Caenorhabditis elegans: one gene and its partners. The protein of the gene in region 4 purifies or fractionates together with the protein of the main gene of each other region. This does not show direct contact. Each region holds a gene or a part of one and is shown on either strand. Other genes may lie near its edges. The genes, in order: ndua-8, R07E4.3, ndub-6 and nduv-2.

Evidence for each region.
Region 1: the proteins of nduv-2 (region 4) and ndua-8 fractionate together in Caenorhabditis elegans (co-fractionation; one large-scale study listed by BioGRID). This does not show direct contact.
Region 2: the proteins of nduv-2 (region 4) and R07E4.3 fractionate together in Caenorhabditis elegans (co-fractionation; one large-scale study listed by BioGRID). This does not show direct contact.
Region 3: the proteins of nduv-2 (region 4) and ndub-6 fractionate together in Caenorhabditis elegans (co-fractionation; one large-scale study listed by BioGRID). This does not show direct contact.

Annotation. Positions count from the first base shown.
Region 1 is NC_003281.10:2,525,182-2,534,197, forward strand, and holds ndua-8 (NADH dehydrogenase [ubiquinone] 1 alpha subcomplex subunit 8), read left to right. Parts: upstream 1-3,881; 5' UTR 3,882-3,894; coding exon 3,895-4,026; intron 4,027-4,072; coding exon 4,073-4,248; intron 4,249-4,357; coding exon 4,358-4,476; intron 4,477-5,047; coding exon 5,048-5,172; 3' UTR 5,173-5,321; downstream 5,322-9,016. Other genes in the region: rbc-2 (WD_REPEATS_REGION domain-containing protein), read right to left, coding at 230-353, 1,185-1,486, 2,700-2,909, 2,967-3,078, 3,129-3,252, 3,315-3,447; Homeobox protein cut-like ceh-44, read left to right, coding at 5,439-5,489, 5,533-5,643, 8,642-8,768; cone-1 (Protein CASP), read left to right, coding at 5,439-5,489, 5,533-5,643, 8,642-8,768.
Region 2 is NC_003284.9:5,949,198-5,956,906, reverse strand, and holds R07E4.3 (Cytochrome b-c1 complex subunit 8), read right to left. Parts: upstream 3,450-7,709; coding exon 3,177-3,449; downstream 1-3,176. Other genes in the region: R07E4.5 (VWFA domain-containing protein), read left to right, coding at 3,737-3,898, 3,944-4,129, 4,543-4,894, 4,948-6,104, 6,579-6,705, 6,766-7,235.
Region 3 is NC_003282.8:11,648,644-11,657,122, forward strand, and holds ndub-6 (NADH dehydrogenase [ubiquinone] 1 beta subcomplex subunit 6), read left to right. Parts: upstream 1-3,759; 5' UTR 3,760-3,765; coding exon 3,766-3,872; intron 3,873-3,925; coding exon 3,926-4,028; intron 4,029-4,080; coding exon 4,081-4,197; intron 4,198-4,262; coding exon 4,263-4,373; intron 4,374-4,426; coding exon 4,427-4,560; intron 4,561-4,609; coding exon 4,610-4,670; 3' UTR 4,671-4,789; downstream 4,790-8,479. Other genes in the region: ZK809.8 (Cardiac phospholamban), read right to left, coding at 125-142; acl-3 (Tafazzin family protein), read right to left, coding at 2,272-2,478, 2,579-2,858, 2,915-3,011, 3,057-3,176, 3,226-3,376; ent-1 (Equilibrative nucleoside transporter 3), read right to left, coding at 5,059-5,373, 5,473-5,558, 5,607-6,119, 6,169-6,263, 6,342-6,508, 6,660-6,821; ZK809.5 (Cilia- and flagella-associated protein 157), read left to right, coding at 8,114-8,224, 8,276-8,347, 8,397-8,479.
Region 4 is NC_003283.11:13,624,125-13,627,522, forward strand, and holds nduv-2 (putative NADH dehydrogenase [ubiquinone] flavoprotein 2, mitochondrial), read right to left. Parts: upstream 1,444-3,398; 5' UTR 1,426-1,443; coding exon 1,234-1,425; intron 1,188-1,233; coding exon 816-1,187; intron 789-815; exon of another isoform or gene 772-788; coding exon 616-771; 3' UTR 501-615; downstream 1-500. Other genes in the region: F53F4.11 (Ribosomal L1 domain-containing protein), read right to left, coding at 1-397; F53F4.12 (Thioredoxin domain-containing protein), read left to right, coding at 1,923-2,048, 2,097-2,315, 2,363-2,807, 2,906-3,090.

The DNA of each region.
Region 1 (9,016 bases), on a different chromosome or scaffold from region 4:
AATGGGCGATTTTAATGTTAAAAAATACTAAAAATTGAGAATTTTAGACAAAAATTGCCTTTTTAGAGCCAAAATCAACATAAATTCATGGTTTTTCACAGTAACCACGGCGATTTTTTTTTTAATTTTAAAAGTGAAAAAATCAGTGAAAAATGGCCTGAAATCAGGAAATTTCTTCTTCTCCTCGGGGAGTACACACGAGCTGCGTAAATCGACACGGAGCTCTTACAGATCTCGAGTGCTCCTGAACACCATTTACAGTGGCCACAATGAAGGGATTCGGCTGATCGAAATAATTTGAGGTTGGACGATTATTTGCAACAACTGGCGGTACTCCTTCTTTTTGGAGACTTCTGGAATTTGAAATTTTTATTATTTTTTGAAATTTTTGAATTTTATAGTAAATTTCACCATTTTTATACTATTTTACTATATTTTAGATTAATTTGAATGCTAAAGTCGAAAAAAAAAAATTTTTCAAGAGAATTTTTTCAAGAAAATTCAACTTTTTAGCGTTGAAATCTTGAATTTTTAGGCAAAAATATGTCAAATTTGTGGGAAATGTTCAAATTTTTTCAACAAAAATTCGTGATTTTAAGCTATTTATTTATTTTTTATTTTTTCCAAAAAAATCAATTATCTTTTTTTTAATTATTTTTTTTGCATATTTTTAATTGAAAATAAGCGATTTTAACTCAATTTTTGCCGAAAAAGTCGATTTTTCCCGGGATTTTTCACTCGATAAGCAATTTCTATGAGAAAATTCGTCAGAATGTGCGTTTTGGATATTTTGGCTCAATTTTTGTCAATTTTTCATTAAAAGATATAGTTTTTCTGCAAATAATCTGTTTTTCGTGGAAAAGCGGATTTTTTGTTTCATTTTTTGTTGTTTAAATCAATAATTATATATACGAAAATCTATCGAAATAGTGCAAAACTACTTAATTTTTTAAACAAAAATTTTTCGATTTTTGTCAATTTTTTTTGATTACACGCTAGAAAATTAGGGTATTTCGCAAATTGTATGCTTTTTCCAGGAAAATTTCAAATTTCTTTAGATTATTGATAATTTTATCAAAGAAAATTATTCGTTTTTGTGATTTTTTGTTGATTTTCATGTGTTTTTAGCTGAAAAATTCGATTTTTCCGGTATTTTCCAATAAAAATTTCCGGAATTTTCTCACTCGATAGGCAATTGAAATACATGAATTGATTCATCAGTATATCCAATTGTAACTTTATCCAAATCCGTAAGATATCCAGCCACACAACGTTTCGTAGTTATTTCATTTTTATGAAAAACTACTGTTGAAAGATCATCCATATCAATAATCATCCAACATGTCGATGCAATTATTAAAAGCATTCTTCTTGTTGAACAAATATATGAAACACTTCGAATATGTTGAATTTCTAGTCGTTTTGATTCATCTTCATATAGAGATGTTGCTGGGTCCTTTTTCTCCAGTTCTGTGAGCGTCCACACCTGGAAAATGGGGTTTTAGAGCTTGAAAATGGCTATTTTCGCGTTAAAATTGGTCTAAAATTATCTAAAATCAATTTTTTACCTCGGAAAAATTTAAATTTTTCCGTTTTAGCATTAAAAATAGCTTTTTAAACCAAAAATTAGAATTTTTAAATGTGAAAATTTAAATGTGAAAATCTTATGGTAATTGTCATTTTACAAGTAAAAATCTATTTAAAAACGAGATTTTTGCGTTAAGAACACTTTACATTGTGTGAATTGTTCAAAAATTCGCTTTTTTCAGTCAAAAATTGAAAATTTACATTAGAAATGTCACGGAAATTGCCTTTTAACAGGGAAAAAAGCTTCGAAAATTCTATTTTCTACTCGAAAAACCGTTTAAAATGTCATATTTTGGACGAATTTATACATGTTTTACACAAAAATCAACTGCAATAGCTATAAAAATTCAATTTTTCGAGCTTTTCAACTGGAAAAATGTGGTTTTAGAGCTTGAAAATGACTATTTTTGCATTAAAATTGATAAGAAACGGCCTAAAATCGATATTTTGCATCATAAAAAGAGCTTATAAACTGAAAATTTGAAATTCTCACGGAAATTGTGTTTTTTTTAGTTAAAAATTTTTTTTTAAGCTTCAAAAATTCAATTTTCCACTCGAAAACTGTCCAAAATGACATTTTTTCAATAGATTTATACATTTTTACACCAAAATCAACGTCAAAAGTCGTAAAAATTAATTTTTTTTTTCTTAAAAATAGCTTTAAAATCAGCTTTTTTAATCTAAAGGCTATACAAAAAATCTTCCAAATTAAGTAGAAAATTGGCTTTCTGGAGAAAAAATTCCAAAAACTGTGATTTTTAAGTGAAAAAAATTTGAAAATTTCACGGAAATTGTCGTTTTACAAGTTTGAAAAATCGAAATTATTAATAAAAAACTTTTAAAATCCAAATTTTTGGGCAAAAATTACAATTTTTTGCTCAAAACCACCAAATTTCGTTCAAAAATAAGCTTGAATCAGGGTATCGCGATTTTTTTTTCCATTTCTACATAAAATTGAAGATTTTTTCTAGAAAATTTGTATTTTCACATTAAAACATTTAAAAATGCAATTTTTCCGCGAAAATATGATATTTTTTAATGTTTTTCGGTGATTTTTGGCTGAAAAAAATTAATTTTTTCGCTTTTTAATCGATTTTCCATTAATTCCACACCTTCATCATTCCACTCAGAGTCATTCCAATCAACTGATCCTCCTTTTCCGGATGACTAATAATTGTAAAACAGCTTATCCAATCCGGTTCAACTCTTGAAGAAATTGAGAATACAACTGTCAAATCTTGTGGATCCATTACTTGAATATCACTATAATCTCCAATACAGAAAAGACGAGTTGCTCTCGTGTGACGGGACGATTTATACGTCTGAAATCAAAAAAATTCTCGGTTTTTTCGGCTAAAAATCGATTTTCCAGCGCCTACGTATGGATAAATATATCTGTGAATTGCAATAGAAGATGTTGAATCAATGCACCGTCCATCTTGAATCTCCCAGAGGCATACACGTCCGTCGGCTGAAGCTGAGACAAAACGTCTGGAATTTTTCGGAAATTATCGATTTTTTCCAAATCCTGCGTTACTAACGTATTTGTCGGTGTATTTGTTGTCTGAGAGATTGCTGTAATCTTTTGAGAATGTCCAATCATTAGCTGCTTTGGCATAAGTCCTTCTGCTAGCTTCCAAATAATAATGTGGCCATTTTCAGCGCCTGAAAATTTCGAAATTTCAGATTTTTTGTTTTATTGTTTAGAAAATTCGATGAATATTAACCTGTGATAATTGTTGCGCCATCAGGAAGCACACGAATTGCGCAAATCTTGTTTTCCGGCGGTTTCGGGCCCCAAATGACAACTGGAACGGAGAGCGCCGGCGATTTTGTGCCGGCTGGCGCGACTTCCACCATTTTTCAGCTAGATTTTCAGATTTACAGCAGAAATTTACACAATAATTTCATAATATTTAATCTGAAATGAAATCTGAATTTCTTCAATTAAATAAGCTTTTTTTTTAGAAAACTTTAATCGGAGCAAGAAAAGGGCAAAGTTCGATAGCCCGTAAATCGACATGAGATGCCGCGGGTCTCGCAGGGAAGAGAGCCAACATGGCATGCGCCTTTAAACTTGTGTGGATTTACGGGCAAACAGCCGTTGCGCAAAACAAATTTTATTTTTTATTTTATCATTTAAAATCAAAATAAACTATTTTCAATCGATTTTTTTTTGTTTTTTTTTGTTTAAAAATCAAATTTCAAATTTTTCTCATCGAAAATAATAAATTTCATCACCGAATTCCCTCTCTGTAACAGTTTCCGCTTGGTTTCCAATTTTCCAATTTCAGGGTACATTTTCCGATGAGTATAACCAAGGATACGCATTTTCCAAGTGACGAGGAGCTCACTGTTCCTCAGGAAATCACTTTATCAACTCCATGGCTCAAATCCATCGCTCCCTATATGGCAAAACATTGCGAAAAGGAGGCAAATGTTGGTTTTTCTGCCAAATTTTCGATAAAATTGAGATTTTTTGCAGGAGTTCATGCTTCGACGAAAGGAAGCCGAGGATCCACGTGCCGTTTTGAAGGAGGGAGCCGCGCTGACCGCGTGTGGAGTCAATTTTCTTCAATCTTTGAAGCGTTCCTGCCTTCCACAGACTCAGAAGCTCGCCGAATGTGTTGATCAGAGCAGTGCCAAGCTTTACATGTCAAAGTGAGCTTTCCAAAAATGAAATTTCATCGAAAATAAACCGTTAAAAAATTTTAACGTGATTTTTTTCCGAAAAAAAAAGCGAAAAAGCAGTAGAATATTCAATTTTCAGGTGCCATGACGACCAGAAGGAGCTCGATGCCTGCGTGGAAGCTAATTTGAACTTGACGCGTCCAAAGCTTGGATACTTCAGCAAACTTCATGTCTATGACTCGGCCACCGCGGCTCCAGGTACAGAAATTATAGAATTTACGATAAAATTAATTTAAAAATGCGAAAAAATCAATATTTTAGCTGAATTCTTCCACTGTTTTTCTCTCAATTTTTGTATGAACTTTTCAGAAAAGTTCCCAGAAACTCCTGAAACTTGAAAAATTCTAACGTTTTTGCATATTTTCCTGAAAAAAAAACCACTTTTTTGTTAAATTTTTCGCTTTTTTGACTATTTTAAAGCTTTTTAAAACTAAAAAGTCACGAAATTCACCTTTTTTCAGTCAAAAAAGCCTTGTAAAACTGGTAAAATTTGTATTTTTCGGAATAATTTCAAATTTCGAGCCAAAATATCACTATTTAAACCTTAATTTCAGACATTTTTTAGCGACAAATTCAAATTTCTATCCAAAAAATATTGTATTTTAAGTTAAATTTTGATAGATTTTGCGGAAAAAATCCGAATTTCAAGTCAAAAAAATCAATTTTTTCAGTTTTAGGCATCATTCCCACCTGAATTTCACGAAAATCTCACTAAAAACTCATTTAAAATCCCATTTTTCGCGGCAAATTCAATTTTCCCCAATTTCAGAGGTGAAGCTCCGTGACTACAAGGCAGAAGCAGCTAAAGTGCTCAATGAGCTTCCAGCCGACTATCATCTTCGCAAAGACTACCGTAAATACAACGACTGGCGCTACAATATTACTGAAAGCTAGATTTCTCTGAAAAATTGGCCGTTTTTCTGCAAATACCCTTCGTTTTCCCGTAGAGTTCTCTCCAAATTCTCCTATTTTTTTCTTGTTTTTTCCCGTTTTTTTTTCCAAAAATTTAAATTTTTTCAGCGAATAAAATGTAGATTTTCTTTAATTTTTTTTTTTCACTTTTTCAACCTTTCTGGTTTTAATCCGTGTGCTATTTCTAACAAATTGTGTGATTTTTTGCTGTGATTAAATAATTCGATTAATTTCTTATTTCAGACCTTATGGAAATCGTCTCAAGAGCATGGGAATCTGTAGATTGGGACCGAATTCAAGTTTTTTGGAAAAAAAAATTATTTAAAAAATCTGAAATTTCAGACAAGAGTGGAGGCTGAAGTGACAGCACTTGGACAACGACAAGATGACAGTGAAATTCGTAAAACACGATTGGTTGAGGAGAGTAATGCATATAGAGGCAGAACTAATAAGGTAAAGAATTGGAGAAAAATTGGCCTGAAATCCGGTGAAAATCGAATCAAAATATGGGAAAATTGCCGAAAATCCAGCAAAAATAGAGAGAAATTATGGAAAAAATGGCTGAAAATCCGGCAAAAATGGAAAGAAATTATGGAAAAAAAATTGGCTAAAATCCAGAGAAAATCCGGATAAATTGGCTGAAAATTCGGCAAAAATGCTGAGAATTTATGGAAAAATTAGCTAAAAATCTCAGCGAAAATTACTCGAAATTTTAGGAAAAAAAATGATTGAAAATCCTGCAACATTGGGGAGAAAATATATAGAAATTTGCTAAAAAACAAGAAAAAAAATGAGGAGAACTTTTGGAACACTGGGCTGAAAATTCAGAGAAAACGAGTATAAATTCTTGAAAACTGAGCTAACAATCCTGCATAATTTGAATAAAAATTCAGCGAAATTAATGAAAAATGGACCAAGCTCTGTCGATATTTATAAGTGAGGATTTTTTCCACCGATTTTTAAATACAACTTTTCTTGAAAAAAATGCAAAAATGTGCTCGGAATACTCATTTTTCAGTAATTTTCAGTTATTTTGCTTTAGAAAATAATGGTGCAAATTTTCTTTAAAAAATCGATATCTCTGGAATTTGGATCTGTGTAATTTATAAATAAGTAGTTTTTTGGAATTACTAGAAAACTTTTGGAAATGCTACAAAAAATGTAGAATTAGTACATAAAAAATGTCAATTTTTTTGAACTTTGGTAAATTCCGGTGGTTCTCCAATATGAAGTGAAGATTATGTGCTCCTCAAATGATCGATATCTCGAAAATCGTGATCAATATCGATTGATTTTCCCGCCAAGTGTCATACCATCAATCGAACATTAGTCGAATCTCTCTCTCTCTCTCGCCATCTGTCATTCAAATCGTTTCTATCTCGTTCTCTTATGAGCTCTGTCCTTTTTTCGTAATTTTTATTTTTTGCTCTATAGTATGTAGGTTTTTGTACTACTTCCTAGTCTATTTTTTTCAACTTTTCCTGTAAAAAATATTGTTTATTACCAGCCGGTAGCATATGCACACACACACACACATACATATTTCTAGTAGTGTCTGTATTAGCTCATAAATCATCAGATTAGTTTACATTTTCAAATTAATCCTATAGATATATCACATTTATTTATAGCTCTGGAGGGCATTTTTCAAGTTTTTAGATTTTCTAGATTTCGAAATTTCATCTAGAAATGTGCAGAAACTAGAGGAAAACGCTTGTAGAATCTCAATTTCTTTAGATTTTAAAAACTCGAAAAATTCCAAATTCGCAGATCTCCCAGGCTGCCGTATTATGTGTTATCTCCAGAAATAAAGGCCTAAGCATATCCAGATTTTTTCTTCAATTTTCCCTGATCTACCCGTGTTCAGCAATTTGATGATTCGACATTTGGACAATTTACAAGTTTTTTAGCAAAAAACTTCAATGTTTTTGGTGAAGAAACACATTTTTTCTCACCGAATTCATGAAAACCTGTAGAGTTTGACCTCTCATTCTGGGAGTTGGAATCCGAACAATAAATAGAGTTTCTCAAAATTCTATACTTTGTCAGTTCGGATTGCCGCCGCCCACGCATGGATCGAATGCTCTGATCTAGAAATTCAACTCTACATAGTAATCTGCAGACGTGGTGTCAGGCTGTCCAATTGCGGTTTGATCTACAAAAAATGCGGGAATTTTGTTGCTCAAAAAAATGTGACGTCAACACACACTCTTAACCATGCGAAATCAGTCTCTTCTCCCGCATTTCTTGAAGATCAAACCAAAATGAGGCACTTTGACACCACGTGAATCTGCTCATTTCAGTACTTCTCCAATCGGTCCCTCCGTTTTCCCAACTCACTCACTCCCTTCTCTTCTTCTTCCTTTTGAGTGGAAAGCATCAAATCGATTTCTTCTTGGCCATCTTCCGGATGGGTCTCTCTATTCTCTCTCTCTCCCACGCACTCTCTCTCACTTATGTAGTCGTTGTGCTCTCTTCCCATAGACGGGTGGTGCAGATGCATGATCGAGACGAGCTCTCTCTATATATGTGGCCGATTGCTCGATTGCTGTTGTGCTGAAGAGAGACGAGATGAAGAGAGACGCAGCGTATAACGTGACAGACTCAGGCGGTCCCCAGATCGATTTGGAATTGCTTTCTCCCTCCGTTTTCTCTCTCTCACACTCCTTTCTTGGAACGACAACATGACAGCCCCCGCGCGATTCAACGCATCGATCTTTTCTCACACGGAGAGAGCCCATAATTTGATGCTCTTTGGGGAATTACTACAGCAGCTCCGAGATGTGAAAAATCGAAATCTGTCTGGAATCGAAGTACCTAAGGCTAAACTAAGCTTTTCGGACTAAAATCGGCCGAGATCTTCTAGAAATGCTCAAAATGCCCTGAAAAATCGGTGGTGAAACGATGAAATTCGATTGAAATGAGCAATTAATCGAGAAATCAGAGTTTTGAAGCCGGAATTTTTGGTGAAATACGGCTTTTCCGCGATTTGGGCAAAAAACAATTTTTGCCCAAATTTCGTGGAGACATGTGAAAATTCATGTAAAACCAGCTTAAACAGAGATTTTCTGTTGCCGGTTTTTCAAAAATTGTGAGACGAAACACAGATTCTACTGATGAGCTTACATTAGAAGCTTATCTGAGAAGCTTAAGCCCAAAATAAATGCAAGATTTTAGCATTGGCGGGCTCATAGGGGGAAAAATGGGTTCAAACCACTATTGCAGATTACTCACGGAAAAAAAAAACTGTGAAAACATATGAAAAATCAGCGGAAACTGCGATTTTTAGGCTAAAAATGTCAGAGGGGCGATTTCAAGTGAAATTTTACCGATTTTTCTCGTAAAAGTCTGTAGAAATTCTCCAATTACAATTTAAAAATCGTCTAAAATCGTCTAAAATCTTCCCAAAAACCAAAAAATTAAAATTCTACAATTTCCCAATTTTTTACAGGACAGTCGAAAGGTGGCGATCCCTCTGATCAAGGCATTTCAAAGCGAGTTTGACGGTCTTCTAGCACGGAGCACAGCTGCTGAAAATGCACTGATTGATATCTGTAAATCGATTGTCAGCCTGCCAGGTTTGTATTTTAATTTTCCGGAGATTTGTGTTCTAGCCGCCTTGAAAACTACAATTTTTTTGAAGCGAAAAAGTATATAGTCAGAGAATTTCAAATTTTGTGCTCATTGAGCAGTTTTGTACCATTTATAAAGGTTTTTTATCCCATCAATTGGGAAAAATCACTATTTTCCTAATAACTTTTTTTTTTGAAAAACTACACCGTTTTGAATAGTTATCGTGAAAAATTAGAAATCGATCACTTTATTT
Region 2 (7,709 bases), on a different chromosome or scaffold from region 4:
AAAAACATTGGAGTTTTCTTAAATCCAGGGTAACGTGCACTTCAAAAGATGAAATATTTACATTTCGAGAGACACATAGTCCGATCAAAAATCTTAATTAAATGCCTCTAGATGTATTCAAACTGAAAAACTTGAAATCTTAGGCATGCAAAATAAAAAAAGAAAGAGAGAAAGTGAGAGCCATAAGACAATGTATTTTGATATTCAAAAGTATATGTTTACCCATTCCTAACCAACATTTCCTTTTTTGGTTTTTTCACATGCACGGGTAACAACTTGCACTAGTATTTTTCTAGAGAAAAGTGTTTTCGAATCAAGAAATCATGGACAATGCTACTGCATTTCCGTTCCAGCTGGTTTGTGGCGGCTCATCTAAAATGGGATAAGGGTGTAGTAAGAAAGAAGAAGAAAGGGAGCAAGAAACCGATAGACTGCTCTTTAGGGGGCCTGCGGACAGAAAAACGGATTGAGAGGGTCTCGATAGAGATATGACCGATAATTAATGCAATCACAATTGGGCATGTCAAGAAAGCAAGATGTGTAGAAAGGTTTTTGTGCGTGTGTCATCGCGACCGCGAGAGAGCTTTCTCATCTTGAGACGACGCGGTGTCCTTCTAAAATGAAAAATGTGATACGTTTTGCTGAGGGACCACAGAATACATGAGCTTGCGATGCAAGGTTCACCGGCACCCCCACGAACTGAATAACATGAAAACTGATGCTTTTTGAGACGGGAATTAATCATAATCAAGGAATCAAACAGCATTCGTTTTTTCGTATAAAAGTTTAAAGGGTAACAATATGACTATATTGATTTAATAAATATATAACACTTGTTTCAATACTCACACGGTCATCTATATCACCATAAATTTTCCGTGAAGGATAAAAAAAACGTTATCTTGAAAACTCCTGGAAATTTGAATCGCAGCGAAAAGTTTTGATTTTTTTAAAGTTCTTTAAGGCGTAACTGTCTATAAAACATACAAAAACCAGAATATGTGGAAATCATTTTTGAATAATGTGGCAATTTACCAAAACTTTGGCTTAACTTTTAGAAAAATCTAAAAATTTTGGAGGTTTATTTTTTTTACCATGAGAGCAACTTTTGAACATTGCTAAGAAACCCTATTAGAATATTTGTTTTTAAGTCTTTATAGAAACTCCAAAAATTTTGCTACTTAACAAAAGTTCCAGTATTTCAAATACAAAACCTCTCAAAAAGCACAAGTCAACTACGGCAAATGAAAATTGTGAAATCATACGCTTTTAAGGCGCTCATTATTCATTTTTGTCATTTCTCATGACTACTTTGGTTTTTTCTATAGTCAGAATCATTTTCTGAGATGAAATGTACCTCTCTTTTATAATTTACCAATTCTTTTCAATATGTTTCCTACATTATAAGAATAATTTTAATTGAGCAGAAAGTGTAGAGAAATAGAAAATACTAGTGAATTGGAGTATATGGGCAAAGAAAAAGTTGAGTGGTTCTTTTCTGTGCGGAATTTTATTGCTAAACTTTCAAATGATAACTGTAGATTTTTTAAAAATATATTGACACTTTTTAATGATTTCGAGATTTGATCATCGCAGAAAGTGCAGTCTGCCGAATATGTTAAAAATTGCAACTAAACAGACCAAAGAAGAGTTGTGCTTTATACTTTTCAAAAAATGTTTACTTGATAATTGACAAATTTTCGAATTGCCAAAAATGTGCTCGCTATTGCCAAAAACGCGAATTTTGAAAATTTGGTAGCTATTAAACTCTTACAAATTGTTCATATTTTCTGTTCAAATTTTCAGAGAAACCCAAAAAATAAATTTCCGATAAGTGAGTGCTACATCATATTAACCCATTGGAATACGATTGGAATAGATTAGGACATATTTAAAAAGAACACCATCCTTGCAGTGTAAGTTGGTGAAACATTTTTTCAGAGGAAAATGAAAAGTCCCACATTGTGAACATTTAAAATTGAATTCAGCAGCCAATTTCCTGAGACAGAAACTGTAAATAAATCGAAAAACCTTACAGAAGAAAGCTCGAGAATATTACGGAATTATGAATCAATTATCTGCTTTCAAAGGTTTTCACGCTTTCCGTTTAATTTGTTTTGTTCGAATCAGAAGATAACAAATCAAATATTTGGCAAAGCTGCTGTCAAAAGTATCCATAAAACAAAGACTAACAGTATTTTTTGAGCGGTATAAAAGGTTGAAAGATCAAATCGAGTTAAATTTAGATAAATGAAAGAAAAATTGACCAGCCAGCGATAATATTTTGTAACTAATTTTTCAGCTGTCTGGAAGTAGACTTTTTTTTGAATAGAAACAACAAAACAAGCAAAACGGTTGCTAGACGCAAATACATGCTCTACATATCTCTTTAGTTACCAATGTAAAAAAGTATAAATCTTCTGACAGCATAGATCAGCTTCAAAACCTGTGGTTTGCCACTTGTGGTTTGAAATCTTTTTAGGATGACAGTTTTGTTTAGAAAATATTAACTTTGACTTTTTCTAATTGCTTTTTTCTGGAGAATATTTTTTAATTTTTCCCCACGTTCCTGAAATGACTAAAAACAATAGCAAAAAATTTTTTAAGTTTGCGATTGTTTTATGTGCAGTCACGAAGTAGTGAAAATTCAGTTTGCTCTTTTATATAATTGTTTTTGAAGTCGTCCTACGGTTTACTAATTTTGTTTCGGAAAATTTGGCAACTTGCCACAATTTTGACTGAAGTTTTTGAAAAATCTAAAATGTATTCAAGTGTTTAATTATTCTACTACAAACGTTTTTGAAAGAATTATTAGAGGTTCTTGCCGATTATACTGTTTTAATGCGTACACATACTAATAATAGTCTATCTTGCATGTTTGCAATGTTTGATTTGACTATATCAAACATTAGAATACCGCATTTGATCCTTTAGTCTGGTATTTCCTTGCTTAACTTTGGCAGTTCTCCCGCCTGATTTTTTACGTATGAAAACATTATCAGCTGACAAAATAATTAGCTTTTTTTCTTGTACTGCAGTTTTAAAGTAAATCATATTTTGATATGCTTGTGTACAAAAACACATTGTGATTCTAGTAATACATTTTATTTGAGAAAAAATTCCAACGTTGATTTCAATTAATACATTGAAATAACTAATCCAACTTCTTCCACAAGTTATTCGTCGTTGGCAAAATCAGCTGGATTTTTGCGGTTTGCAGCAACATTTGTCTTCTTGGCCCAATCGTAGAGAAGATATGCACCAATAGTTTGTGGAATGTAGTAGTACCATTGATCCCAAACGTAGGTTTTGAAGGTTCTCACAAATGCCTGATCGAAGAATCCTTTATAAGCTTTTTGTTCGTTTGGAGCCAATGCAAATCTATGCTCTCCATACATTTTTCCCAAATTTCCAAAATGTTTTCCCATTGCAACGGCTGAAGGCCTCATTTTTATCTGAAATAATAAACAAATTAAGAAGTTAAAGTAAATTTCAATGGAAAAAGTATACAGCAGTTGCGACGAGCGCCTCAGTTGGTTGGTGTGCAAGGACGCTCCATTGAGAACACGCTGCGAGACCCGGCCGTATAAATGTGTGCACCTTGGAGGGTGCCTCTGTCGTTATACGTTAAGTTTCCTCATTTATTATCCAATTTTTAGATTTTTTTGCAAAGTGTGGTTTTTATTTCTTTACTTTTTAAATGCTATTTTAGAAATTGAATATTGTTCTTTCAGGAATGCCGTTTCCCAACCAAATTCACTTTTTAGTCGACGCGAGTATAAAAATGCATGCAATTATCGATTGTGATGCGACACCAATGGAGAATGCGTACATTTTTCTGCGTGAAATTTGCAAAAAAGGAGATCATCAGCCGACCTATATCGATAGAGTTCATATTGTGAGTTTTTGAAGCAATAGTTTATAAAGTTTACACTTTTTTCAGCACATTGGTGATAATTACATTGAACTGGAAGAAGGAAAAGCACTGAAGATGTTTGAGGATTCGAAAAGTATGATTTTTGAGCCATCAGATCAGAATGATTTTCTTTCGCTTTGGAAAACTGCGTTGGACGCCGATGAGGATGAAAATGCGTTATTTTTCATTGTATCCACTATTGTTAATGAAAAAGTAAGTTGTCACCACATTAAAGGTGGAGTAACGCCAGAGAGGAAATTGTGAAAAATCACTCTTTTGGTGTTGAAATAACTAAATATCATTTAAAAAAAATTTCGGCAGTGTTCGGAAAACTTCAAAAAAGCGATGAAAAGTAAGCTTTCACCAGTCTGTTTTGGAAGTTATCGATGAAAAATAATAATTTCCTTTTTTATGTTATTCATGTTGAAAATATTTATATTCCAACATTGTAGGGATTTGTGTTTCATTTCTCGAAGAGTGGCACAAGCTCGGTTGTCACCGCTTTTTGGCCAAAAATATTAATTTCCAAAATGTTTTGAAAAGTTTCAAAATTATATTCAGTCATTGTAACACCATAAAACTTTACCTTTAAATAAGAAATAAAAAAAAAACAATCATAAATTCAGATTCTCAAAATGTTCCACAAATACCACAAAAAGATGACGTTTCTCGATTTTTCTGGAATCAAACTAAATATTTCTGAACGACTCAAAAGCGATGTTCATCTGGTTGAACACGGAACTTCAAAAAAACTAGCTGCGACAATTCACAAGAAGATTACCGAGAACTACGTCACAACGGTCAATTTCGGGACTTCTTTTGGAGTAGAACTTGCACCTTGTACTGTGAGAAAAAATGTGCCCTACGAACTTACCAAAATTGACATTGTTGGCACATCAACATATCAGCCACTGGAAACGATTTCAGTTTTGACGAGAAGTTTCCTTCTTCCAATTGACAAGTGCTATGACAAAAAAGGTAACTACTGTAATATGCAAATGTTTTAATTATTTAACCTGTCCTATTTCCAGGTTCGAAAGTGAATAATGCAGTCGCATATTGTGTTTTGAAAGAGATCATTGGTGATAAGCCTGTAGCACTCCTGGAAAAAGAAGATGAAAACGATCGGAGTTCTGATACAAGCCTTGAAAAATCCAATGAAGATATCAAAAAGGAAATTGACGACATGAAGTCTGAAACAACTGCGCCAGTTGTTCCAGTGAAACCTCGAGCACCGAAAAAAAAATTTCCAAACCTTGTTCCCAACAATGAAAACGGCTACGAAGGAGACGGAGAGTCTGGTCCAATTACAGCCGAAAATGTCAAAAATGAAAAAACAAATTTGACTAAAGGAGGGAGAAAGCGAAGATTGCAAACCCTCGAACCTTCAAATGCAAAGAAAGGAAAAGACGCCAAAAATGGCGATCTACTTTCTGAAGTGAAAAACGACAAAGAAGCCGAAACCAAAGAGAATGAAGACGGAAAAGCCTCAGCAGATGGGACACCAGATCCATTGTTCCTAGTTGCATGTGCAACGGAGCGCTACACTGGGTTACGCAGACCAGTTATTCTTCGACTCCGCGAATTTGACAAAGATGACAAGACTTATTATGATGAAGAAACGCTTAAAGCAAAACTTGAAGAACATGCTGTTAAAAAACTGGAAGAAGAGAAGGACAAACTTCAATCCGCTGCCGCACCTGAAGATGACTCTCCAGCAAGTCCTCCGATGGATTGTCCAGCGTCTCCAGATATGGTTCCCGTTATCCCGCAAACTGTGAAAATCATTCCGACAGTTCCAACAATTCCACTCGAAACACAAGACGTCGATATGCGTGAACCATCAGCTCCCAAGGATGTTGATTACAGATCACAAGATGTTGATTTGCGTGTAGCAGTTCCTGTTGGTGATGTCGATCTTCGTGCTCAAGACAAGGTACAAGATTCTTTACCTGTGGAGGTAAAGAAAGAAAGCTGTATTGTCGACGATGCGGTTGTGCCGGAAGAACCACCAATGGAAGATTTGACAACGAATCAAGATCAGCCGGTTAAGTTAATTCCTTTGGAAGGTCAGACAGAGCTGAAAGCAGCAGAAATCAAGCAAGAAATGAGTGAAGAAACAGCCGCAGATGATAATCAGTCACAGGAGAATGTTTTTGATTATGGGAAATATATTCAGATCATTGTGGTAAGATTTTGAATACGATTTGGGACAGAAATTAAAGTTCGAGTAGCACCAATGGAAAAATTGTTAAAGCCAACTTCTATTGTGCTAAAGTGACCAAATATCATAATTAAAATTTTCAACACAATCTTTAAAATCTTTTATTAACACTCGAAAATGGCAATTACTGAGTTTTTTTTGTAACTTTTGGAAAATTATAGCACGGTAGCATGTTTAAGTCCTATGATGTGGGAATATTTGAAACATAAGTGGGCTATAAAGTTCAAAGGGAATTTTTTTGATCGACGGCTTCCGATAACGTAGCAAGCACTGAGTAATTGCCCCTTTTCAAAACAACAAAATTTCAAAAAAATTTTGAAAAAAAGTTTACTATGAGATTTGGTAATTTTAGCACCATAGGAGTGGTTTTTAACAATTTGTCCATTGGTGCAACTCGGCCATAAACTTAAACATTGAGCTTAAAAGTATAAATTTTAGCTCGATATGACTTGGGAAAAGTTTGAAAAGCAGATAGCTATAGTCAACGACGATGATATCTTTGAAGAGCTGACGGAGCGTGAAAAGACAGTTGTCGGCCCAGAGCCAAATCATGATTACACCAAACGTAAGTCAATGATATTCCGAAAATTAAAGTCTAATTGTTAATTATTTCTCAAAATTTCAGTGACCGGATGGTACTCACCAGAAGCCATGCAATTCTATGTGAACAAAATGGTCCGGGCTCTGCGAAAACTTCAGGACCGATCTGCTTTATTTGAGAAGGAATACCAGAACATGACTCGGATGGTGATTTATGGTCAGAGCCCTGAAATGGCTCGACAGTTTGCAATATTAATTCGTGAGGAGTCATATGGGCTTGAGAGACAGGCTGTTCCAGTAGCCGACGGTGCTGCTCAGTACTTTGAGCAACTCAGCGAGCAAATGCTTTATCAGCCAAGACCAAGAAAGGCGGTTTCATCAAGACGTCATCATTACACTCAGCCGCACCCACACCATCAGCAGATGCCACATCATCAGCCACATCTGCACCATGCCCATCATCCTGTACATCCACATCGTGGACCACGCGCCTCGCATTCGCAGCATCTTCAGCATGGACAGTACGCTCACCATACTCAACGCCCACGCCACTAGCGGACTAAAAATTATTACTGTAGCTTGTGAAGCTTATATTATTATTTGTTATCAATTCATATTTTTATTTTCTGATATCCGGGTAGTTACTCCGAAGATTCTCATTATTGCTGTTATGTTCCTGTGAATGAAGATTTCCTGTCAAACAATTACCTATTTTTTTGTTATTGGAAATGTCGGTGTTCAAAATCACTGCTATCACTACTTTATTTTCGCTTTTGAACAACTTTTGATTCAAAATTTGAATCAATCAATGCCAGTAGTGTTTGCTCTTCTCATCATACCTCTCCTTCCAAGCAACGCGTGTTGGTGATGAGAGGCGCAGACACGGAACAAATCCACGCTGGCGCTGTGTGAAACGACACGGTTTTGGTAGCTTTTATACATTTCCGCAAACTGTTTGAATCGGGTTTTTATCTTTTCCTTTTTGTTCCTTGTTCGGAAGTGCGCTTTGAATGAAATACAGGCAAACCT
Region 3 (8,479 bases), on a different chromosome or scaffold from region 4:
AAATATTAATTATTCCCTTGGCTATAGTTTTGCGTTTACTTTATTTTTGCTATTTTTGAAATTAACTGAGATATAAAGCTTCAAAGTGGAACAGGACTACTCCAAAAACAAAATCAAAACTTACTGTAGTTGACTTCATCATTTTTCGTGTTTTTTTCCAAAAAAAAAGTACAAATAAATTGAAATAAGCGCTAAATAATTCCTGAATCAGAGACCAGTAAGTTGCGAAGAACTAAGAGTTTAGAAATATAGGTGAGGAGGCGGTGTCTAGCTGTTTGAGGTACTTGATATTGAATGTTGATATTGATACGTACTGATCAGATAGATAAGGTAAATAGAAATTGACTTATAATGAGAATGTGGAAAAGAAAGATAAAAAGGATAAATTTTCAGATAGGACCGAGTCAAAATGACTCAACCAGCAACATTTTTGAGGAAGAGAAAGGTATCAATGAGAATGTGGAGACTCCGCCTTGTCTATAGGACGCCTGTTTTCTTTTTCCATGGCTCTCTCCGAATGGCACATGATCTCTGTGAGGGAGAACCCTTCAAGTCAGAATCACTCTACTTTTCACAATCTTTGTGTTTTCTTTCATCTTCTTCTTATTTTTCTGCTTCAGGCTCCGTGCTGCTCCTTCCAAATTGATAGATTTGATGATATCCAGTGATAAAAAAGAAACAGAGGTCACTTTTGATCGAGCCAACCATGAAGGAAACGAACAAACAAAAATGTGTTATCAAAGAAAGAGATATCGTGGTTTTCGATTGGATTTTATCAAACCACCGCTCTGCCATACTTCGATATCGAAACGTCAAAGTGTGCAGGAGATTTGTGCGAGCACACGTTCAAGTCATATGGCTCTTTTGCTCCGAGAGCAGGAAGACCGCTTGACACCGGATAGCTTTTCCTACATGTACACAGTGTCACTGAAAAGTGTATCAGTGATAACTGATTGGAGAAAATGAAACGTTTGAGGAATGATACTAACATGAACGTTATCGTATCTTTGAACTCTCTGAAATGAGATTTTAAAAAAATTATTGCAGAAAAATGCAAAAGTAATAAAGGAAGTTTCTGAAAACACAAAATCTAGGAATTACCTAGTTGCAAAAGTCAAGCGATTTTCGCCTAAAAACACGATACCCGGTCTCGCCACGAACAAATTATTTTAAACTCAAATCTGCTATGAAAGGTGTGCTCCTTTGAGTAGTAAGTACAGTAACCAACTTCCCGTTATTTCCTGTTCTTTATTATTGTTTTCTAGTGTTTAAATTTAGATTCTCAAGAAAAATGTTCTAATAAGAGAATATTGCAAAATAACAGGCAAAGGATTACTGTACTATTTAAAAGCGCACACCTTTTTGCGACTTGGATTTAAAAAAATTCGTGGCGAGAGCCGGTACTGTGGATATTTTCACTAAGGATCGTATAATATGCAACTGGTGCGATTACTCTGGAATCTAGACCCAAAAAAACTGAAAATACCGATCACTGGAAATCTTGAAAAAGCTGGAAGACGACGATAGGCATGCACATAGGCCTGAAGATATGCCTACTTACGGTTGAAGTCTAATTGCACAAAATGTTCAAATTTTCAACTGTTGTTCATAATATTTCACTTGTTGTTTGAAACATTGAGCTTGTTTTTTCATACTCAGATATCATGAACATTCTCGTGATAGAACAACAAGCTCAGCTGTGAAAGATCAGTGAACTCTGATCAGTCAGTTTCTGAAAACCCTATTGTGCATATTTCAGTTTCAGATTTTACTTGGATTCTTGAATTGCCTACTCTAGATTTCGCATGACGGATGCATTTCCTTTGCATATGAATGTAAAGTTGTTAACCTCCATATGATATGTCATGCAAAATGTCATTTTCTATGTTATTTTTCTTCAATCCATGAACCCAGAGAAACTTGGTATCATCTTGATTTCTCCCGCCCGTTTGACACGCCGCCATCTGCTCCTGCTGCTCTTTGCCGTTTGGCACGCCATTAAACCAACGACTCGATTCGACGTTCTGAAACGATGAGAGGAAATGGTGAAGGAGAACAGAATGATGATCTTAAGATCAGAGCTTGAGACGAATTCATCCGGGATTTCAAGGGAAGAGAAAAAAAAAACAAAAACAGCAAGTAGGAAAGAAAATGGCTATCACGTACATAGAAAATGCAATAAAAGTTGTGTTATAACAAAAATCATCAAACCAAGAAATAGAAAAAAAATCTAAATATTTCCTAAAAAATTAAAGCTATGGGGAATCAAGTTTAATATTCAATTGGCGGATTTTTTCGAAGAATTTCCAGTGACGATCCTTTAGGAAGATCACCAACTTTCTCTCCCAATTGATACATCCGTGTCTGAACTTCGTCAGTGATGATTTTTCGCATTTGTTCAGTGGTCAGTGACTTTGATAGAACTGTTTTCTTGAGATCAGACAGGAAAAATGGCTCTCCGATGTGAACTGTTACGGTCTGAAACGGAAAAAAATGAATAATTTCACTACGTTTTTTGCAGATTTTATATTTTTACGTCTAAATTTGATTATTGAACTTGAAAAATCTTCCGACTTACATTTCCAAATTTAGGATAGTATGGAGGTTGTGTTGGCCAAACTTTTTCCATCTCTTTACACCATACAGGCAATATTACTGGATCGGTTTTAGCATCCATCACAAGCCTTCCAATTCCCCACTTGAATCGTAGTGGTTCACTTTCAAGAGTACACACTTTTCCTTCTGGAAAGATATGAACCCATTTATTATCATTCAGCATATCCACACAGAAATCCATTCCTTTTTGATAAACTCCTTCTCCACGAACACACGGAACACAACGTCCTAATGAGAACATTCTGAAAAATAAATATGCGACGATTAATTTGAAAAATTCAAGAGAAAAAACTCTTACGTTGTATGGAACTGTTTTGTGAAGCAAATGTTGTGAGCTGCGAGAGTGTATCTATTGCGATCTTTGTATCTCCAAAACTCACGGAATTTCAGAATACCTGAAAATAGAAATTAGGAATGCTATAATAAATCATTCGGCTTACACCACATGAGCGGGTCGTCGATATTTGAGCGATGATTTGAGACTGTGATGAGTGGTTGATTCGGATTTTCCAAAATCTTGACGAATGTCTCTTTGTTGTGGCATATCAACTTATTGGATCCTAAAATGTATCGAATTTAATAATTTTAAACTTTAATTAAAAGACAAACCTCCAAGGAACATAAGTTTGGAAACTGAAGTGACTAAACTCATTGTCATGTATGATTTTATACGGTACAGAAGTGACGGTTTTTTTGGAAAGGGCCATGCAAACCGGAAGCCTTGCACGTCATTTGTTTTATCCCGCATTGTACCCGACATCGTGCTGAAATACTTTTAAAGTTTAGAAAAATCTTTCGAATGGAATAATAAAGTGTTAGAGAACGTGGAAACTATATTAATTTTAATCAGAACAATGCAAGAAAAAAGAAAGAGAAAAGTGCGCCGCGCGCTTGCACCTCGAAACTCCGCCTTCTTTTGCAAGCCGCAACGGGCTTTTTAATAAATGGCAGATCTAAATTTAACTGCAAAATAGTTTGTTTTATTCAAATTTGCTAAAATTTTATTGATTTCGTATGTAATTTATGTTAAATTGTTATATTTCGTTGTCATGTATCATGTTTTTTGTGTGCCCGTTCATTATTATCGATTTTTACTCAGTTTATATTTAAGCAGTCTCACAAATTCATAAAAACGAATTTCAGGCTCAAATGGGTAACCAGTATGTGAAACCAGAACGCACGGGCAATTCCCCTTATACCCGGTCCGGAGTTCCACCACCGGCGCTTGTCAAGACTGGTGACAAGCCTCTTCACAGGTAATTCTTTTAGATTCTGTTCAACAAATTCTATTCAACACAAAAAAATTCAGAGTGAATGACCGCATGTCTCTCGAGCTCCACATGGCCGATGAGCGTGTTCGTGCCGCTGGTTTGAGCCCAGCCGAAAGAGAATGGAGAAAGAAGTGGGTTCATGTGAGTTTTTACATTTTTTGTCAATTGTTAATACTAAAATGTTTATGTTTAGGACCAGCACCTTCACGCTGACGAGCCAGTCGTTGTCGATGCCGTTCATCGTCAGTTGAACCCAATCAGAACCGCTTACAGACTTCCATGGGACAAGTTCTATCTTCATTACCTCAAGGTGAGATATATTTTCTTTAAAAAAATCAATTTTTTAATTTGAATTTCTCATTTATTGCATTTCAGCCAACATTCGGAGTTTACTATGGAACCGCTATCAGAGTTACAGCTCCAAAATTGCTCATGGCTTTCGTCGTTGTGCAGACTGCCTATTATTATTGGAAATACGAAGTCAAGGTATTCAATTTTTTGAATTTTATATTAATTTCACGAACCATTATCTTTTCAAGGACTGGACACATTTGAGAGGACTTGAATCGATGCCACAAAAAGAAGTTATTGCTAGTGCTCCAGCAATTGAAGAGAAATTCCCTGGACTCATGGATAAGGGACTCGCCAACCCATCCAAGGATGACTACTACACGTGAGTTAAACAATAATTTGTGGAATATTGGAAAATTGAAACTTTTCAGACCAACATTTAATAAGCGTACTGCTTACCTCGATGTTGGAGAGACAAAACGACCGTGGTAATCGAAAGGAAACGAGTGACAATCAGTCATTCGAATATGTACTTTTAGGGTGTTGTAGACGAATTTTTAAAGTTTTTTCTTTGTTTTTGACCCTACCGTAAATAAAAAATTTCATGAATGATTTATTTAACCAACTTTCTAGGTTTTATTCATAAAAAACAAGTTGAGATTATAAAAAAATAGGAGAACAACGAGATGGTGCTGCGGAAATACCTGAAGAAGGAAAATAACAAAGAACAACAAAGTATTAAGAGGTATTTTAAGGAAAGAACACTAGTGGATAAAGATACTACAGAGGAAACCTTGAAGGTTATGAAAGAATTTACGTTAGGGAATTAATATTGCTAATGATGAGGTTGATGGGAATAAAATAAGGAGGAATAAGAAGTTTAGGCCGTGACGACCATCTTGATGACCATTGTGAAGATCAGACCAGAGACAATTCCAGAGATGAGGAAGAATCCGGCCATCATTCCAGCGACCTGAGCCTTCGATGGATCAACAGTCTTCGAGGTGTACATCATGGCGAGTCCCGAGAAATATCCACTTCCAAAGCTCATCGAGGCGGCGATAATGACGAAAAGCCAGGTGGATTCGAAAAAGACGGGAAGTGAACGGGTCTCAGGGAGATAGTTGCAGAAGATGAAGAATGGAATATAGAGGAGACGGAGGTAGACTGGAATCCAGAGCTTGTTCGGCGCAGGCTGAAATAAATATTGATATATTAGATTATTCTAATTTATTCAAGTTTACGGTATTCCTTCAATCAGATTTTGCCAAAATCTCAAAAAATAAAAACATACCCATTGCTTTCTTCCGGCGACAATTGATCCAATAAAAGCGAACACGTTGAATTGAAGGAATGTGGTCACATCCATGAAGTATTTTTCTGAAAATTCACGGTTATGTATTTCAAGAGAATTGATGAAAAACTGACGTGGCAATGGGAAATCGTAGACACCTCCTTTCTTCTCATCCTTAACATACATCATGACTCCTGGGAAGATGGAAAGAGTAACGAAGAAGACCAAAAATACGTTGATGAGTTGTGGGAAGGCCTCCTTGAAAGTTGCGATGTAATTAGCCACTTTTCCTTCGCTATCAACTGCTTCATCGTTTTTGTTTCGTTGTCTTTCGGCACGGGTACTGTAATACTGGTAGAAACGTTGTTTCTTGAGGATGTGGAAGGAGATAAAGCAGAAGACGAGTGTGATTAAAGCAATGGAGAAGTAGGCGAATGATCTGTCCAAGATGTTTCTGGTGACAGCTTTAGTCGACATACTGAGCAGGGTGACGAAGGTTCCACACAAATTGTTTCCAATGATCACAGCATTGGTGTACTTGAAAGGAAGCTCCGATGCAAGACCGAAGATACTGTTCTGGTATACTCCATTTGCTCCATTCAATACAATAATTGTGATGATGGTGAGTGTGAAGAATCCGGTGAGCCCTGAAAACGTCTGGGTTTATAAAAATAATAGAAAGGGATGATGACTTACATGTGGAGGTTTCGACGTAGATGAACATCATTGTAGTGATCACACAAACAGCTACAATTGAGAGTCCGACAGTGATGCGACTAGCAAGTCCTCCCCTGAAAGTTTACATTTTATTTAGAACTTAACGAAACATTGAACTGCAAGAATTTATCTTTTAGAAAAAAGTTGCTCACTTGACGACAATGAAGATGTTGAGAAGATTGAGAAGAAGGTTCGGGACTTGAGAAGCGATCGTTTGGAAGCTTTGGAAGTTGGATGAGTAGACAGTTGGATATCCAGTAACTACTCCGGTGTCCATGTCGATTGTTGAGTTGGCGAGCATTTTGTATGATTCGAAATACTGCAAATAATGATTATAAGCGAATTTTTTACAATTTAATACATTTTCTAGATAATTTCTATTAGCTCACATTCCTAAAAAATGGTTTCCATGCTTTGAAATAGGCTTTTAAAATATCGGTGATCTTTTTTGTTGGTATTTCAAAACTCACATCATAGGAGATCGTAATAAGCATGTTCCATGGCATAAGAGTTCCGATTCCATGGAGCAAGATAATGTAGAAAACAAGATTTCCCTTGTCCTCTGGCTCCGGGGATTCTTCCTCGACTTTCTTTGTTTTGTTTAACGGCTGTAGCTCCACTGCCGACGACATAGTACCCTGAAAAACATTTTGTAGGTTGAGACATAAATAACGAGGCAAGAAAAGATGAGCATTTATAGGAATTTTTTCTTCAAAAAGAAAAAAAATCAGCAATTTTCAAGAAAAATGAGCAGAAGTAATTGTTCTAAAGTTTTTCCCAAAAAATTCGAAACGAGAATTGTCGAATTCAAAACAACAGGTGCAGTTAGATGTGCAGGTTATTACTGTAGCTGAATTTGAAAAAATCCATAAGAAAAAACTTCATGGAAAAAAACTGAAGATGTTTTTTGACTTTGAACTCAAAAGAGAATAATCAATGAAAGTGAAAGACAATACTTGATAGTACGGCGATTGCCTCTCGTCAGCTATTTAGTAAGATAAGCTAAAAATTGAAAGGTATACTTCATTTCAATGAAACTTTTGTCTGCAAAAAAGCGACGTCAAAGCATGTATTTGCAAACTGTTGTCGTGAAAGGGAAGCTAAAAAGTTAGCTTCAAGGTAAAAAAGTTTGACTTAATTGAAAGTTTGATGTGAAAACTGTTTCTTAGAGTAACAATTATTGGCGATAGTTATCAAATAATGCAAAGGAAGTGAAAATAAGATTTTTAAATTAATAAAATCCTGTTAAAAATTGAAAGAGCTCATTAAAGGCAACAACTTGGAAAAATATACTTTTTACAATCCTAGACTTCGTTTAAAGGTCGTAGAATTCTACAAGAGAACAGATTATGTTTCATATTTTACATATTTTCTGAGTTATATCAAAATTTGTGTTATAACGTATCTGAAAATAAATGAAAAAGCCTCAAATAGTCCAATCAAACACGAAAAATTATTGCAATTTTAATCCAGAACGATGCAAAAAATGAATGAGAAAAGTGCGCCGCGCGCTTGCATCTCCAAACTCCGCCTACTTTTGCAAGCCGCAGTGAGCTTTTTACTCCATGGCAACCTGAACCTGAATGGTAAATGAATAATTAGTTTTATTTATAGAAATCGCTGAGATTTTATTGTTTTTGTTTGTAATTCATATTTAAATGCTAACTTTTATTGTAATTATTCTTGTTTATATAATATAAGTGGATTTTATCGATTTTTGTTCAATTTGTGTCTAAGTTAGCTTTTAGATTTTTCTTTCTTCTAAAACCTTATCGAAAATCCCACTTTATTGAATTTTTTCACTTCTTCATAACAATTTCCACTTCGGTGTCCATTTCTTCTCTTGAATCACGTTCACTATTTTCTCTTGATAGAATTTAAAAATCAAATTTATTTATTTGCAGATATCTTCAATAATGTAATAATGGGGAGCAAGCAACAAATAGGAGTTTTAAAACGGGATGGAATTGGAAAACAGTATTTTGACATGGAGAATATTTTGACAAGATCCCTCTACAGAGTGCTCAATAGTTCTGTAAGTGTGTTTCACATCTGAATTTTAGAAAATCGATTCAATTTTTTTCAGACACAAGTTCCACCACATATTGTAACTAAAAGTCAAAATGTGGACAAAATGAGTTTTCCTGATCGAAAATCGGTAATATTTTTATTCGATTATTCAAAATTATAAAAATAAAATAATGTAGTTTCAGACAATCGCCGTAGCTCGACCAAATAATCATCAAATTGGAAACGCGAGTTCAGTCGATATGGATATGCAAATGAGACT
Region 4 (3,398 bases):
CTTCCTTCTTCGCAACTTCAACTGAAGGAGCAACTGACTTCACAACCTGCAGCTCATCATCTTCCTCCTCCTCATCGCTACTAGGAACGGTTTGAACGCCTGGCGCCTTCTTGGCTGGCGTTTTTGCAGCTGGAGTCTTGACGACTGGAGTTTTTGCAGCACGAGTTGGTGTCTTTGGTGCTGGTGTATCCACAGTCGATTTGGTAGTTCGCGATGGAGTTTTTGGAGCCGGTGTTTTTGGAGCTGGAGTAGCACCTCCTGCTGCTAGTGATTTCTGAGCTCTAGTCTTTGGGGACCTGGCTGGTGTCTTCGGTGGAACAACGACTTCTTCGTCCTTCTCTGGCACATCGGCGACGACATTCTTCGCAGGAGTGTTCTTGGTGCTCTTTCTACCCATCTTAAAATAACAATTAAAAATTTTAAAACAAAAAGAAATTTGATAAGTATAAAGAAACGGAATGCAAACCGCAGATCATGAAAAAGAAAATCATCAGATAAATACATTGAATACACTTTACTCTAAATCGCAAAATTAAAAACGAAAATTAGGATTTTTAAAAACCAAGGATCTGATAAAGATGGAATCTACAAATAAATTCAAGCATGTCCAAGCGTTTATTTAAGAGCAGCTTGCAAACCGAATCCAGGTCCAGGCGGGGTTTCTTTGAGAGAAGTAAGCTCTCCGAATGGCTCAGCGGCTAGGCGCCCGGATCTTGGTCCAGCAGCTGGTTTACGTCCTGCTTTAAGATCGTCAAGAATCTCGTTCACATCCTGAAAACTAACATAATTTTGTTAACGCATTGATATTTTTATACCTTTGGTGTCAGGTCCTCGAAATAATCGTCGTTAATTTGAATCATTGGAGCATTGACACATGCTCCAAGGCACTCTACTTCCGCCAATGTGAAGAGTCCATCTTTTGTTGTTTCTCCGGCATGAATGCCAAGTTTCTTCTCAATAGTTTCCGTGATGGTTTCAGCTCCTCGAAGCATGCATGGGGTAGTTGCGCAGACCTGGAGGAAATACTTTCCTACTGGTTGCCTGTTGAACATGGTGTAGAAAGTGGCAACTTCATAAGCACGCATTCTTGGTACTTCTAAAATTTTAGCAACCTCATGCATGGCTGAAATTGGAAGCCAGCCATGTTGCCGCTGAGCCAAATCGAGAAGTGGAATAAGAGCACCAGCCTGAATAAAACTGATTGAAAAAACCAGCATTAAAGTATAATCTCACTTTATGTCCTTCTGGATAAATATCCATGATAGCCTTAATTCTCTCTTGATTTTCCGAAGTGAATTTGAATTTGACATTCAAATTATTTTCTTTAGTGTCTCGGTGAACCATCAATCCAGTAGCTCCGCCTCGCTTGATCACCATTTCACCAAGGCGTGACGCCTGGAGCAGCACGTTCGATGCCAACGACATCTTTTGCAGGCCGATCACCTGAAAATTGATTTCTTCATAAAAAAACGATAATTTATGATTTTTCACAAGAAAAAGCAACATCTTCTTAGGGTAGAACTACTGGTTATATGTAAATGAATACGCTGAATTAGAAAATAATATTATTTTCAACGGAAATTCATCAGGATAACTGGGAAAAGCTGAAAATAGGGCCTGAAAATGGGCGGACATTCAGAAGGGACTAGTTCCTTTCTTTTCGAAATCGCCGGCCATGGTGTATGTTTACGATAAACTAAGCGTGAGATGGCATATCGGAGTGTCGTTTTATTATTATTTTTTCGTTTTTTGTTTTTTTTTGTTTTCTTTGAAGAAATTTAAAGAAGAATTCTTCTTTAACTTTCACGCATATTTAAATTAGAAACCTATAGAATTTTCGAATCTTTTTAACTGCTTCTGATCACTATTAGTAGTAGAGCGCATATTAATTGTTTAATTTCATCAAAATTAAAGTTTTATAGATGTCAGAAAACTTCGGCGAAGCAACGTATGTTAGCGGACGCCATCGGAAAAACCCTGTACTCATTTACACAAGTCGAACAGACCGTAACAAAGTTTATGAATTTATGATCGCAACGAAATATAAGGTGAATTTTTCTTTAAATCAAGTATTTCTATATTTAATTAGTTTTCAGATACCTGGACTAGTTTCTTGGAAATGTGTATCATGCTCAAAAGTGAAGAATGGTTATCGAAATTTAGGTGCTGAACTGAAGCGGAAAGTTCCGTTGATCCTAGTAGACAACGATATCATCAAGGAAGATCCAGAGAGACCCCTCAATGCTGAGCATTTTTGTAACGGAAAAGGTCATCTCGAAGCAGTAGTTGATAGAGCTAGAATTGATTTTGTACATGTAAGTTCTTTATAAACCTGTTTCAAGTTGCATGGTGTTATATTCAGATGCATGGACACGAAGAACCGAATAGTGCACAAATTCGTGAAACCATTCAACATTTTGCAAAAGAAGCTGCATCCACAGCACCGATCCCATTGAACGGGAAAGAAAAACGAGAGGTACAACGGACACTCGGTGCGAAATGTCTACCGCTTTTACATGGTGTTAATAAGCGAAGAATGTGTAAAAAGAGAAAAGAAGCTACGCAAGCTCAATTTCGAGACAACGAAGAAGGAATATTGGAACATGGAGAAGGTTCTTCTTCTTCAGTTCAACATCAGCAGGTCAAAGATGACAGGTCATCGAACAAAATAAATGAAAAAACTGGGGAAGTTCAGGAAGATTTTCAAGAAACACCCAGAAAACGTCGGAAAGCAGCGAGCAAGTTTCCACCATTTTCATCTCCAACGCAACAGCCTCTTTTGGTACGACCATTGCCGCCCATGTATTGTAAGTTTTTACGATTCGATTCTTACATCAAGGACAACGTCTAGCTTTTCAGAATTTCATTCCTTTTCAAAAGTCTTCTGAAACGTTTATTTTTTCAGACGTCCGCACGGGCATGGCTTCGCAAGTTCTTCCACACCAGCATCATCATCATGATTCTCATCATCATTCAATAGATTATTATGAGGATGTAGAGATTGAAGAAGAAGCTAGAGAACACGTATTCGACGATGAAGAGCTCATTTCGGGTGACCAGCAACAAGTGGCGTATAGCATTGAACTTTAAAGTACATTTCTAGCCTTCATATTTTGTAACATTTGTTGGAATTTCACAGTTTTATGCAATTACATGTAATTAGATTCCCAATTTGTGCAAAGGCCGTCAACACGTGACATGAAGTCTGTTTCGCTTCTCTGCACCCTCCCGTTTCACCCATTCACATTATTTTTCACCATTCATCAGCTGGTTTTTTTGTTGCTTTTCTTTTCCGCCTCCCTGTCAATTGTTGTTTTGACGCAGTTTCCTTATTTTCTCCTTTTTAGTTTTTTTTCTCAAAAAAAAAAAATTTCAAAAAGTTTCACAATTAACGTATT